3 linked regions of the Anolis sagrei genome follow. The protein of the gene in region 1 purifies or fractionates together with the protein of each later gene. This does not show direct contact. Links are inferred from orthologs where the notes say so. Each region holds a gene or a part of one and is shown on either strand. Other genes may lie near its edges.

Region 1 (3,747 bases):
CTCAGCAGCAGAGTAGCATAGCGCAAGGGCAGATGTCTTCACTGTGTCTGGTTGTGATCCCCAGGTTGTGCCAGTCAGCTTTCGTATGATATTATTTCTAGCACCCACTTTTTGCTTGATATTCAGGCAGTGCTTCTTGTAGGTAAGAGCACGGTCCAGAGTGACTCCCAGGTCTTTGGGTGTGCTGCAATGCTCCAGTGGGATTCCTTACTAGGTGATCTTCAGAGCTCGGGATGCTTCTCTGTTCTTGAGATGAAAGGCACATGTCTGTGTTTTAGATGGGTTAGGGATCAGCTGGTTTTCCCTGTAATAGGCAGTAAGGGCACCTAGAGCTTCGGAGAGCTTCTGTTCAACCATCTCAAAGCTCCCTGCTTGAGCAGTAATGGCACGATCATCAGCATAGATGAATCTCTCTGTCCCTTCTGGCAGTGGCTGGTCATTTGTGTAGATGTTGAACATGGATGGAGCAAGCACGCTCCCCTGAGGCAGGCCGTTCTTCTGTTTCCGCCATTTGCTTCTCTGGCCCTGGAGCTCAACAAAAAAGCTCCTGTTTTGTAGCAGGTTTCCTATGAGGCGGGTGAGGTGGTTGTCCTTTGTGATACTATACATTTTTCTCAGGAGGAGGTGGTGGTTCACAGTCTCATAGGCTGCTGACAGGTCTACGAAGACAGCTCCTGTGATCTGCTGCCTTTCAAAGCCATCTTCTATGTGCTGAGTCAGGTTCAGCACTTGCGATGTGCAGCTTTTGCCTTTTCTGAAGCCAGCTTGCTCGGGGGTCAGACATGGGTCTAGATTTTCCACAATTCTATGCAAAAGAAGTCTCTCCAGAACTTTGTAGAGGTGGCACAACAGGGAGATTGGTCTGTAGCTTTTTGGGTCACTACGGTCTTTGCCTGGCTTCAAGATGGCAATGACTCTTGCTTTTCTCCAGATTTTGGGGATCTGACAGGATGCAGTGCAGTTGTTGAAGGGAAGGTTGAGAGGAGACATGATGAGGGCCATGTATAAATATGTGAGAGGAAGCCACAGGGAGGAGGAGGGAGCAAGCTTGTTTTCTGCTTCCTTGGAGACTAGGATGCAGTGGAACAATGGCTTCAAGCTACAAGAGAGGAGATTCCATCTGAACATGAGAAAGAACTTGAGAAAGAGCCGTTCAGCAGTGGAACTCTCTGTCCTGGAGTGTGGTGGGGGCTCCTTCTTTGGAAGCTTTTAAGCAGAGGCTGGATGGCCATCTGTCAGGAGTGATTTGAATGCAATATTCCTGCTTCTTGGCAGAATGGGGTTGGACTGGATGATGACCCATGAGGTCTCTTCCAACTCTTTGATTCTATGATTCTATGTTGACAGGCCTAGGAAGCCAGGCTGACCCAAGAAGAAGAAGAAGAAGAGCAGGAGGAGGAGGAGGAGGAGACGCTCGTCACGTGACGCCCCCTCACGCCTTGTTTTCCCCAAGCGAGGGGCGGAGCTGCGCGCGCAACGCGTGCGTGGTGACGTAAGCTGCGCGACGAAAGAGAGGAGAGAGAGAGAGAGAGGGCGGCTTCGTCCCTTCGTTCTTCCCCTTTCCCCCTCCCTTTTTTTATTTTATTAACCCCCCCCCGCTATTAACTTTACCTGCCCCCCCTCTCTTCGGTAACGTGGGCGCGGCCTAAAGGAAGGAGAAGAAGGAGGCGCCTGTGCTTCCGCCCTTCCGCTGGTTGCCATGGCGATGGCGGGCTCCGGGCCTAGCGCGCCGCCTCAGCCTCATCCTCCTCCTCCTCCTGCTCTTCTCAACGCCGCTTCTGCCTCTTCTTCCTCCTCCTCCTCTTCCTCCATGCAGCCCGCGGGCGAGACGAAGGTGATCTACCACCTGGACGAAGAGGAGACGCCTTACCTGGTGAAGATCCCGGTCCCGGCCGAGCGCCTCACTCTAGGCCACGTCAAGGCCGCCCTGGCCAGGCCTGGCGCCAAGTACTTCTTCAAGAGCATGGACCAGGACTTCGGGTGAGGACTCCCGAAGGGGGAGAAGACAGACATCCCTCCCCATGTGCCCCCAAGGAAGGGCCTTGGGCGTTTGGGGAGGGCCCTCTTCTGAGGCCCTGCCCTGCCCTTCAACTCCATTCTTTACAGGGAGATCCTACCCAAGCCCTCCCAACAGATGGCCTTCCACTCTCCAATTATTATTGTTATTAGAAGTATAGAATCCTAGAAGGGGGCCCCAAAGGCCACCCAGTCTGACCCCATTCTCATCTACTTGAATATCTTACCCAAGCCCTCCAGCCTCTGATTATTACTGTTATTATTTATTTATTTATTTATTTCATTCACTTATACCCCGCCCTTCTCACCCCGAGGGGGACTCAGGGCGGCTTACAGGGAGGGCACAATTAGATGTCCAATCACACAACAAGTAATCCAAAAAATATAACAATTCAGCAGTTAGATTAAAACATCAATACATAGTAAAATCATAAAACCTAAACCAATCTCATGTCAGAGTCCATATATCAGTCCATACATCTGTTCTATTCCGTTTGTCCTTGTCTATCACCAGGTCCTTGAGTTAGTTGTCAGAGTGACCAAAAGCTTGGTCCCACATCCAGGTCTTTAGTTTTTTCCTAAATGCTAGGAGGGAAGTCGCCGATCTAATCTCCCCGGGGAGTGAGTTCCACAGGCGGGGGGCCGCCACCGAGAAGGCCCTGCTCCTAGTCCCCGCCAGCCTCACTTGTGAGACTGGCGGGGTCGAGAGCAGGGCCTCCCCAGAAGATCTTAAACTTCGAGGTGGGATGTAGAGGGAGATCCGTTCGGACAAGTACACTGGGCCGGAACCGTATAGGGTTTTATAGGTTATTAGAAGCATAGAATCCTAGAAGGGGGCCCCAAAGGCCACCCAGTCCAACCCCATTGCGTGTTATTGTCTATATATTATTTATTATTTATTTATTTACTTTGCTTATATACCGCTGTATCTCAAGCCCGAAGGCGACTCACAGCGGTTCACAAACAGTAAAAACAGTAGAAACAGCAGTGGTTCCATACAACATATAACAATTGACTTAACACATTATCCATAAATTACCAATAAACAATTACAATGCACAATTATTACAAAAAAAACAACCGTACCCAATCTTCTCATCACCCAAGCGTAGTCCAGGTTCGTCGTCCATTGTTCCATTCCTATGTTCCATTACCAGATTGCACTAAATTACTCAAACGCCTGCACAAACAGCCAGGTCTTCACCTTTTTGCGGAATACCATTAGAGATGGTGCTAGTCTAATGTCCGTAGGAAAGGCAGTGGTTCTCAACCTTCCTAATGCCGTGACCCCTTAATCCAGTCCCTCATGTTGTAGTGACCCCCAACCATTATATTGTTTTCGTTGCTACTTCATAACAGTCATTTTACTACTGTTACAAATCATAATGTAAATATCAGATATGCGGGATGCATTTTCAGTCACTGGACCAAACTGGGCACAAATACCCAATGCACCCACATGTAAATGCTAGTGGGGTTGGGGGAGGATTGATTTTGTCATTTGGGAGTTGTAGTTGCTGGGATTTATAGTTCACTTATAATCAAAGAGCATTCTGAACTCGATGGATTTGAAACAAACTTGGCTCCCATGACCAATGGAAAACACTGGAAGGGTTTGATGGGCATTGACCTTGAGTTTGGGAGTTGTAGTTCACCTATATCCAGAGAGCACTGTGGACTCATGCAATGGACCAAACTTGGCACGAATACTCAATATGCCCAAATGTGAAC
Region 2 (3,747 bases), on another chromosome or scaffold:
CAAACAGAGAAAATACAAAAATGTGTGAGTCTGGTAGTTGATTAAATGTCCTTTGACCAGTATCTGGCCACTTGGAGTGCCTCTGGTGATGCTGCAAGAAGGTCCTCCCTTGTGCATGTGGCAGGGCTCAGGTTGCATTGCAGCAGGTGCTCAGTGGTTTGCCCTTCTCCACACTCGCATGTCGAGGACTCCACTTTGTAACCCCATTTCTGAAGGTTGGCTCTGCATCTCGTGGTGCCAGAGTGCAGTCTGTTCAGCGCCTTCCAAGTCGCCCAGTCCTCTGTGTGCCCAGGGGGGAGTCTCTCATCTGGTATCAGCCATTGGTTGAGGTTCTGGGTTTGAGCCTGCCATTTTTGGACTCTTGCTTGCTAGTGAATGCAGGAGAAAGAAGTGGGCGGGGAGAAGTCAGGAATGGGCGTGACCAAAGGAGGAGGAGGATTGGCTTTCCATAGACAAGTGGACACAGTAGGGAGAAGAAGTGGGTGCGGCCAAGTCCAGAATGGGCGGAGCAAAGGGAGGAGCTTTGGCTTTCCATAAACCAGTGGAAGAAGGAGGATGAAAAAGTGGGCGGGGTAAAATCCAGAATGGGCGGAGCCAAAGGAGGAGGCTTGGCTTTCCCTAGATCAGTGAACGCAGGAAGGAGAAGAAGTGGGCGTGGCCAAGTCCAGAATGGGCGGAGCCAAAGGAAGAGTAGGCTTGGCTTTCCATAGACCAGAGAGTACAGTATCGAGAAGTGGGAGGGGCCAAGTCAAGAATGGGCGGGGCCAAAGCAGGAGCAGGCTTGGCTTTCCATTGACTAGTGTGAATGCAGGAGGGAAAAGTGGGCGGGGAAATTTCAGCAATAGGCGGAGCGAAGGGAGGAGCTTTGTTTTCCCTCGACCAGTAGACGCAAGAGGGCGAAGAAGTGGGCGAGGCTAAGTCCCAGAATGGGCGGAGCCAAGGGAGGAGCCTCGGCTTCCCTCAGAGAAACTGCATCAGTCGTTCAGTGGCAGCCGAGGAGGAAGGATCGAGTAGAGTCCTTCCTCGGAGGCTGGCAAGAAGCCGGGATGAAGGCTTCCCCGGAGGCGGACGGGCGCCGGAGCGAGGCTTCGGAGACAGCCGAGCGCCTCCGGACCCGCGAGCGCCTCGAGGCCACGCTGGCCGGGCTGGCTGAGCTGTCTTTCCTCCGGCGGCGGCAGGAGTTGCGCGTCCAGCGGTGGATGCCCGCTGCCTTACCCGCTCAGGAGGCGCCTTCGCCGGCTGTGAATGCAGAAGGAGCCGCTGTCGCCGCTGCAGCTCCTGCCTCCTCTCCACGGAGTTTGGAGGAGCAGTTTTTGGAGGAGAACATCCTTCTCTTAAGGAGGCAGCTGGTGAGTCCGAGGAGGGACCGCGGATACGGGGACCCGCGGATACGGAAACCCCTTTGGTGCCAGGTCCCACGACTATGGGTAATCATGGGAATTGGTACCCGCTGGGTCTCGGTATCCGCGGGACTCGGTATCCGCGGGTTTCCGTATCCGCGGGCCAACTTGGGCCCTCCAGGGGTTTTGGACTTCAACTCCCACCATTCCTAACAGCCTACCGGCTGTTAGGAATGGTGGGAGTTGAAGTCCAAAACCCCTGGAGGGCCCAAGTTGGCCCATACCTTGTTATCCGCGGGTTTCGGTATCCACGGTTTCCATAGACTTACATGGAGCATAGGGGGCATTTAGGGGACAATGGGTGTACTTGTCCCTCTCCCCTGCAGGAATCCCAGCCAAGTGGGTGGGGAGCTGCATTGCTTCTGCTTTCCAAGGCTTTTTCTGCAGCATTGGCAGCCAAGATTTCAAGCTGCGGGGAAACAAGAGATGAAAAATCAAGGTCAGGGGCTGTTTTGTCTCTTGGATTGCTTTTGGGTGATTTTGGGAGGATGGAATCATAAAATCCTAGAATTTGAAGAGACCTCGTGGGCCATCCAGTCCAACCCCCTGCCAAAAAACCCACGAAAATTGCATTCAAAGCACTCCCGACAGATGGCCATCCAGCCTCTGTTTAAAAGCCTCCAAAGAAGGAACCTCCACCACACTACGGGGCAGAGAGTTCCACTGATAAACAGTCTTGAAGATAATTTTTTCCTGGGGGAGGCTTCCCCTAGGCAGGAAGCAGCCAGGCTTTGAAGCTGCAAGGCCATTCAAAGCTAATCAAGCTGGCCAATTGCAACATTCAGGCTTCCTAACTGGGGGAACCCTTTGTTCAGAAACTCTTACCTTCTTGCTGTTCCTCCAAAGCTGTTCAGCAGTGGAACTCTCTGCCCCAGACTAGGCTTCCCCTAGACAGGAAGCAGCCAGGCTTTGAAGCTGCAAGGCCATTCAATGCTAATCAAGCTGGCCAATTGCAACATTCAGGCTTCCTAACTGGGGGAATCCTTTGTTCGGAAACTCTTACCTTCTTGCTGTTCCTCCAAAGCTGTTCAGCAGTGGAACTCTCTGCCCCAGACTATGGTAGAGGCTCCTTCTTTGGAGGCTTTTAAAGAGAGGCTGGATGGCCATCTGTTTGGGGTTCGTTGAATGTGATTTTCCTGCTTTTTGGCAGAATGGGGTTGGATTGGATGGCCCATGAGGTGGTTGTTCCTTCAGTTCCTACAAAGTTGTTCAGCAGTGGAACTCTCTGCCCTGGAGGTGCCTTCTTTGGAGGCTTTTATACAGTCTGGATGGCCATCTGTTTGGGGTTCGTTGAATGTGATTTTCCTGCTTTTTCCCCCTGCTTTTTTCCTGGATTGGATGGCCCATGAGGTGGTTGTTCCTTCAGCTCCTCCGAAGCTGTTCAGCAGTGGAACTCTCTGCCCCAGAGTATGGTAGAGGCTCCTTCTTTGGAGGCTTTTAAAGAGAGGCTGGATGGCCATCTGTTTGGGGTTCGTTGAATGTGATGTTCCTGCTTCTTGCAGAATGGGGTTGGATTGGATGGCCCATGAGGTTGTTGTTCCTTCAGTTCCTCCAAAGCTGTTCAACAGTGGAACTCTCTGCCCTGGAGTGTGGTGGAGGCTCCTTTTATGGAGGCTTTTAAACAGAGGCTGGATGCCCATCTGTTGGGGGTGTGTTGAATGCGATTTTCCTGCTTCTTGGCAAAATTGGGTTGGATTGGGTGTTGTTCCTTCAGTTCCTTCAAAGCTGTTCAGCAGTGGAACTCTCTGCCCCAGAGTGTGGTGGAGGATCCTTCTTTGGAGGCTTTTATGTAGAGTCTGGATGGCCATCTGTCAGGGGTTCATTGAATGTGATTTTCTTGCTTCTTGGCAGAATGGGGTTGGATTGGATGGCCCATGAGGGTGTTGTTCCTTCAGTTCCTCCAAAGCTGTTCAGCAATGGAACTCTCTGCCCTGGAGTGTGAGGAGGCTCCTTCTTTGGAGGCTTTCAAAGACAGGCTGGATGGCCATCTGTTTGGGGTTCATTTAATGTGATTTTCTTGGCAGAAGGGTTGGATTGGATGGTCCATGAGGTTGTTGTTCCTTCAGTTCCTCCAAAGCTGTTCAGCAGTGGAACTCTCTGCCCCAGAGTGTGGTAGAAGCTCCTTTTTTGGAGGTTTTGAAACAAAGGCTGGATGGCCATCTGTTGGGAGTGCTTTGAATGCGATTTTCCTGCTTCTTGGCAGAATGGGGTTGGCTTGGATGAGGTCTCTTCCAACTCTATGATTCTATGAATCTCTTGGAATGGCCATCTGTCGGGTGTGCTTGGATTGTGCCTTCCTGTACAGCAGGAGGTTGGACTACATGACCTTTGAGGGTCTCTTCCAACT
Region 3 (3,747 bases), on another chromosome or scaffold:
TAATAATAATAATAATAATAATAATAATAAACTTTATTTATATATCACTCTATCTCTTCTAAGGGACTCAGGGCGGTTTCCAAATAGCAAAACACCAACATACAGAGTACGCAAAACATAAGCGTAGAATTCTCAAAACAACACAAATACATTAAAAACCAATCCCAAAAACACAATAGGGGTTTGCACTAGCCTTCGACTGTCAGTGCTGTTCCCCTTTCCCCTTTGTAATTAGAGCTGTTTTATTTCTCTGTCTGAAAACAAGTTGCTAGAAAACCGAGGCTGAAATGTCTATGATGTGACTCAGACCCGACACCTGTATAAGATTTCTTTTCCCCTTTAGCTCTATGAAGCTTTCATTTACAAAGGCAGTTGTTGTACTTGCCTCCTGACAGTACTGTTTGGTTTCATTGCCTTGCCTTTAAATTCATTCTTGAAGGAGTGTTTTCAGTTGTACTTCAGCCATACCTCCCCTCCTTATTATTTAAACTACCACACAGAGCAGAGCCGAATTCGGGCATTGTTTAATTTTGGGTTTCAGACTGCCTGTTAGTTCTTCTGATGCTTTTGGCTCCTAATAAAGCAGAGCTCTGTTCCATTCTGGCAACCCAAGCTACTAATATTGCTAAACTTTCTCACTGGAGTTTTGCCAGCGCTGGGCAGCGTTTATGTACGGTGTTTAAGTCAGATCTGTACAGCTCTTCATGCACACCCTGTTCCAGATTTTACTTGCCTTCTCAACCTCTTAAAAACTGGGAAAGAGAGACTGTTGCTTGCTACTGGCTGCTTCTTGAATTGTGCGTGTAAGAGTTTTTTCTCTCTGTTTTTTTTCCTCCCCAAAAAGATCTTACTGTAGCCAAAGTGGGTTATTATAGTCCGTTTATGGTGGCAATATGATATCTGTGTCTTTCACTTCAGGAACGTATTGCTGCTTAAATTGCTTCAGGCATAAAGAGAGAAATATGCGGTTTCTAGCGTTCTCTGATAAGTATTTGCAGTAGTCTGAAGTTTGCAGCCAACTTTAAACAAACAAAATTTCAGTTTCTCTCTCTCTGCCTTTGCCCAGCCATTTTTTCCCTTGGTGATTCCCGATCTGCATGAACATATTAAGTGGATTTATTTTTCACGGAGGGAGGGAGAGGTCTTGTGTGGCTTCCCCCACTTGTCTTTCTTTTTCTTTTGGCTTAGAACAGAAATGTTCCGTGAATATGATGCAGTTTAGATTTATAGCGGAGTCGAGTGTGTTTGCTGCCTTAGTCAGCTGTGAGAGATCTCCCGCTGGGGCCGCTCCTTTTCTGATGGAAAAGGAACAGCTGTGAAGGTGCTGTTTCAGGCTATTGCTGGTATTAAAGTGAAAAAAATAGTTGCTTGCATTGGAGAGGGGGAAATGGGTCATGTGATGCCAGCCATCCTACCCTATGTCACAGTTTGGAGGAGCACCGATTGCTCTTATCCAATCATGCCTGGAATGCTGCTGGCCACTTGGGCTATTTCTGCTGCCTGTCTCTATCGGTGCAGTAGTGCTAACAGTTTGGCAGATGGGACACTTTTTCTTGGAGTTTATGTCTTTAGTTCTTAATTTCTGGCAGTGCCTGGACTCGTCGCTGTCTCCCCCTCCCCTCTCCTTTCTCCTGAAACCATGGCCCATCGGCTGCGGTTTCATTTTGGCTCCGGACGAAGCAACACCGCTCCTGAGTCGGGGATCCTTGACCGTGAGAGAGAAGAGGATGACTTTTTCATGGCATGCCACACTTTGCCCAGAAGGAATGGGCCTCATACTTTCTCAAGGCGAAGGGCTGAGTGTGGAGATAACCACAGGGATTTGCGGGAAGCCGGTTCCTTGAAGAGGAGCACCTCTATGTTTATTCCTCAGCTTCTCAACAGCATAGATGCCCGGCCCACCAGGAGCTCTTCTGTGCAGATTTCACTCCAGCGCAAGGCTGTCAATGGGCATGCTGATGAATGCGAGGGCACGGAATCCCCCCCAGAAGACATGGGGGATTTTTCAGATTTAGGGGAGCATTGCACATCTCTTGATGGAAGCCATTCTTCTTCTAACAGTCAGCAGGTCACCCCAGACAACTCTCCACCCAGGCAAGCGGAGAACCCAGAGTATGAGATTAACGGAGAGCCATCTAATCACAGGATATTTTGTACCATCCCTTCCAATAACTGGACTGACAATGGTGCAGCCACTGGCCAGGACCACGAAGCAAGCAAAACCGGATTAGGCTTAAACATTGGCAGGGTAAGGATTCAGCATCGGGCTTCGAGCGTAGACGTGCCTCATGTTACGCTAATGCCCTTTGACTCAGAGGCGCCAAACAATGCTTCGGCCTCAGAACCCAGGCGCTGGTCTTTGCAACATTTGCCAGAAGGCTCTACCAATTCAGGAAAGAAATTCTTTGTTTTCCAATTGCAGCAGCCCCCGGCAAATAGCACAGGGACAGACTACAATTTTGGTTTCACGGGAACGAAAGGGGATCGGTTGGTTAGGTATCCACGAATACGTCTGGAGAGGAGTACCTCATATCCAGTTCACCCACAGCCAGAACGCATTAGCCCCATGGAGGGTGAAAGTGTGAATTCAACACTTCACGGAAATAGCAGGAATGGCACTGAAAAATCCAGAGGCAATCCAGTGGAGCGGGTTTCTCCAGGGCAAGGATGCATGTTTAAAATCCATCCAGATCAAAACTCAAGGCAGCAGCATTTCAGAATTCTTGTAACTCGTGGGATTAATGAGAAAGGTCAAAGTTCTGGATCAGAGAATTCAACTGGTTCTGCTCCTGTTGCAACCAATTCATCAGTAAGTAAATGTTAACGAAGTGGTAATTTAAGTTTTCACTTAGATTGTTTTGAGTCAGGGGATAAGGGGAATGGAAACTCAGATGCTTCGTGCAGGTCACATAGTTGTGAAATATCATATAGCAATGTTAGAAAGACCTACAATCTTCCAGAACAATCTGAAAGCATCTATGTTTTGTTAGGCTAAAGTAGCTTTCAGTTATGACTACTTCCAGTGCAATGTTTTCAGGTCTTCTGGTGACTCATGAGTTACTTAATTCATTGCTACGTTGTCAAATACAGTTCGGTAGTTATGTGTGTGTATATAATACTCTGCCCATTTTGCCTTATTTCTATGCTTTTAAAAAAAGTCCTATAATCTTTAAAATCTCAAGTGATATATACATTTATGCCAAACATACTATGTATACCTCGTTAAAAGTTAAGGATCAAAAGCTGTTTTTCAAAAATATTAGCGCAGTTTTAGTGTCTTTTTGTTTAATTGCTTATAAATGTGAAAAAGTAGTCATGGAATCCCAAACGTTTTGATTTGTTAATTTCAGTTTTGGTTATACTACTATTTTCGTCATTAGCCTTAACAAATTAGGTATATTTCATATTCTACAAACAATAGGCATAGTTTTTTTTCACAGAAGGATATATAATAAACGAATGCCAAAGTTGTATTTTTTAAAATTGTGCTTTGTTGTTGCTTGAATGCCACTAGTCTCTTACATGTTCCAGCTCCATATGAAAACAAACAAAAGAGATGTTTTTGGCCCGTATCGCTTCCGCCTGTGTAATCATGGCATATATTGCAGTTCGATGCTGGAAGGCAGCATCTAACTGTGGGAAGGCATTGTGATGGTTGCTGCGTAATACAAAAAGACTTTTATTCTACCCAGTTTAACTTATCGATATATACCTATTATATCACTGAGAAGATTATAGATGCCTAGC

The links.
Region 2: the proteins of DVL2 (region 1) and DACT1 purify together in Homo sapiens (affinity purification with western blotting; 3 studies listed by BioGRID and IntAct, with this or other methods). This does not show direct contact. The link is inferred for Anolis sagrei from reciprocal best matches to the Homo sapiens genes DVL2 and DACT1.
Region 3: the proteins of DVL2 (region 1) and NEDD4L purify together in Homo sapiens (affinity purification with mass spectrometry; 4 studies listed by BioGRID and IntAct, with this or other methods). This does not show direct contact. The link is inferred for Anolis sagrei from reciprocal best matches to the Homo sapiens genes DVL2 and NEDD4L.

What each region holds. Positions count from the first base shown.
Region 1 is NC_090026.1:4,389,178-4,392,924, reverse strand, and holds the start of DVL2 (segment polarity protein dishevelled homolog DVL-2), read left to right. Parts: upstream 1-1,524; 5' UTR 1,525-1,699; coding exon 1,700-1,980; intron 1,981-3,747.
Region 2 is NC_090021.1:334,345,232-334,348,978, reverse strand, and holds the start of DACT1 (dapper homolog 1), read left to right. Parts: upstream 1-983; 5' UTR 984-1,046; coding exon 1,047-1,349; intron 1,350-3,747.
Region 3 is NC_090022.1:282,592,404-282,596,150, reverse strand, and holds the start of NEDD4L (E3 ubiquitin-protein ligase NEDD4-like), read left to right. Parts: upstream 1-1,451; 5' UTR 1,452-1,639; coding exon 1,640-2,809; intron 2,810-3,747. UniProt on the Homo sapiens protein: E3 ubiquitin-protein ligase that mediates the polyubiquitination of lysine and cysteine residues on target proteins and is thereby implicated in the regulation of various signaling pathways including autophagy, innate immunity or DNA repair.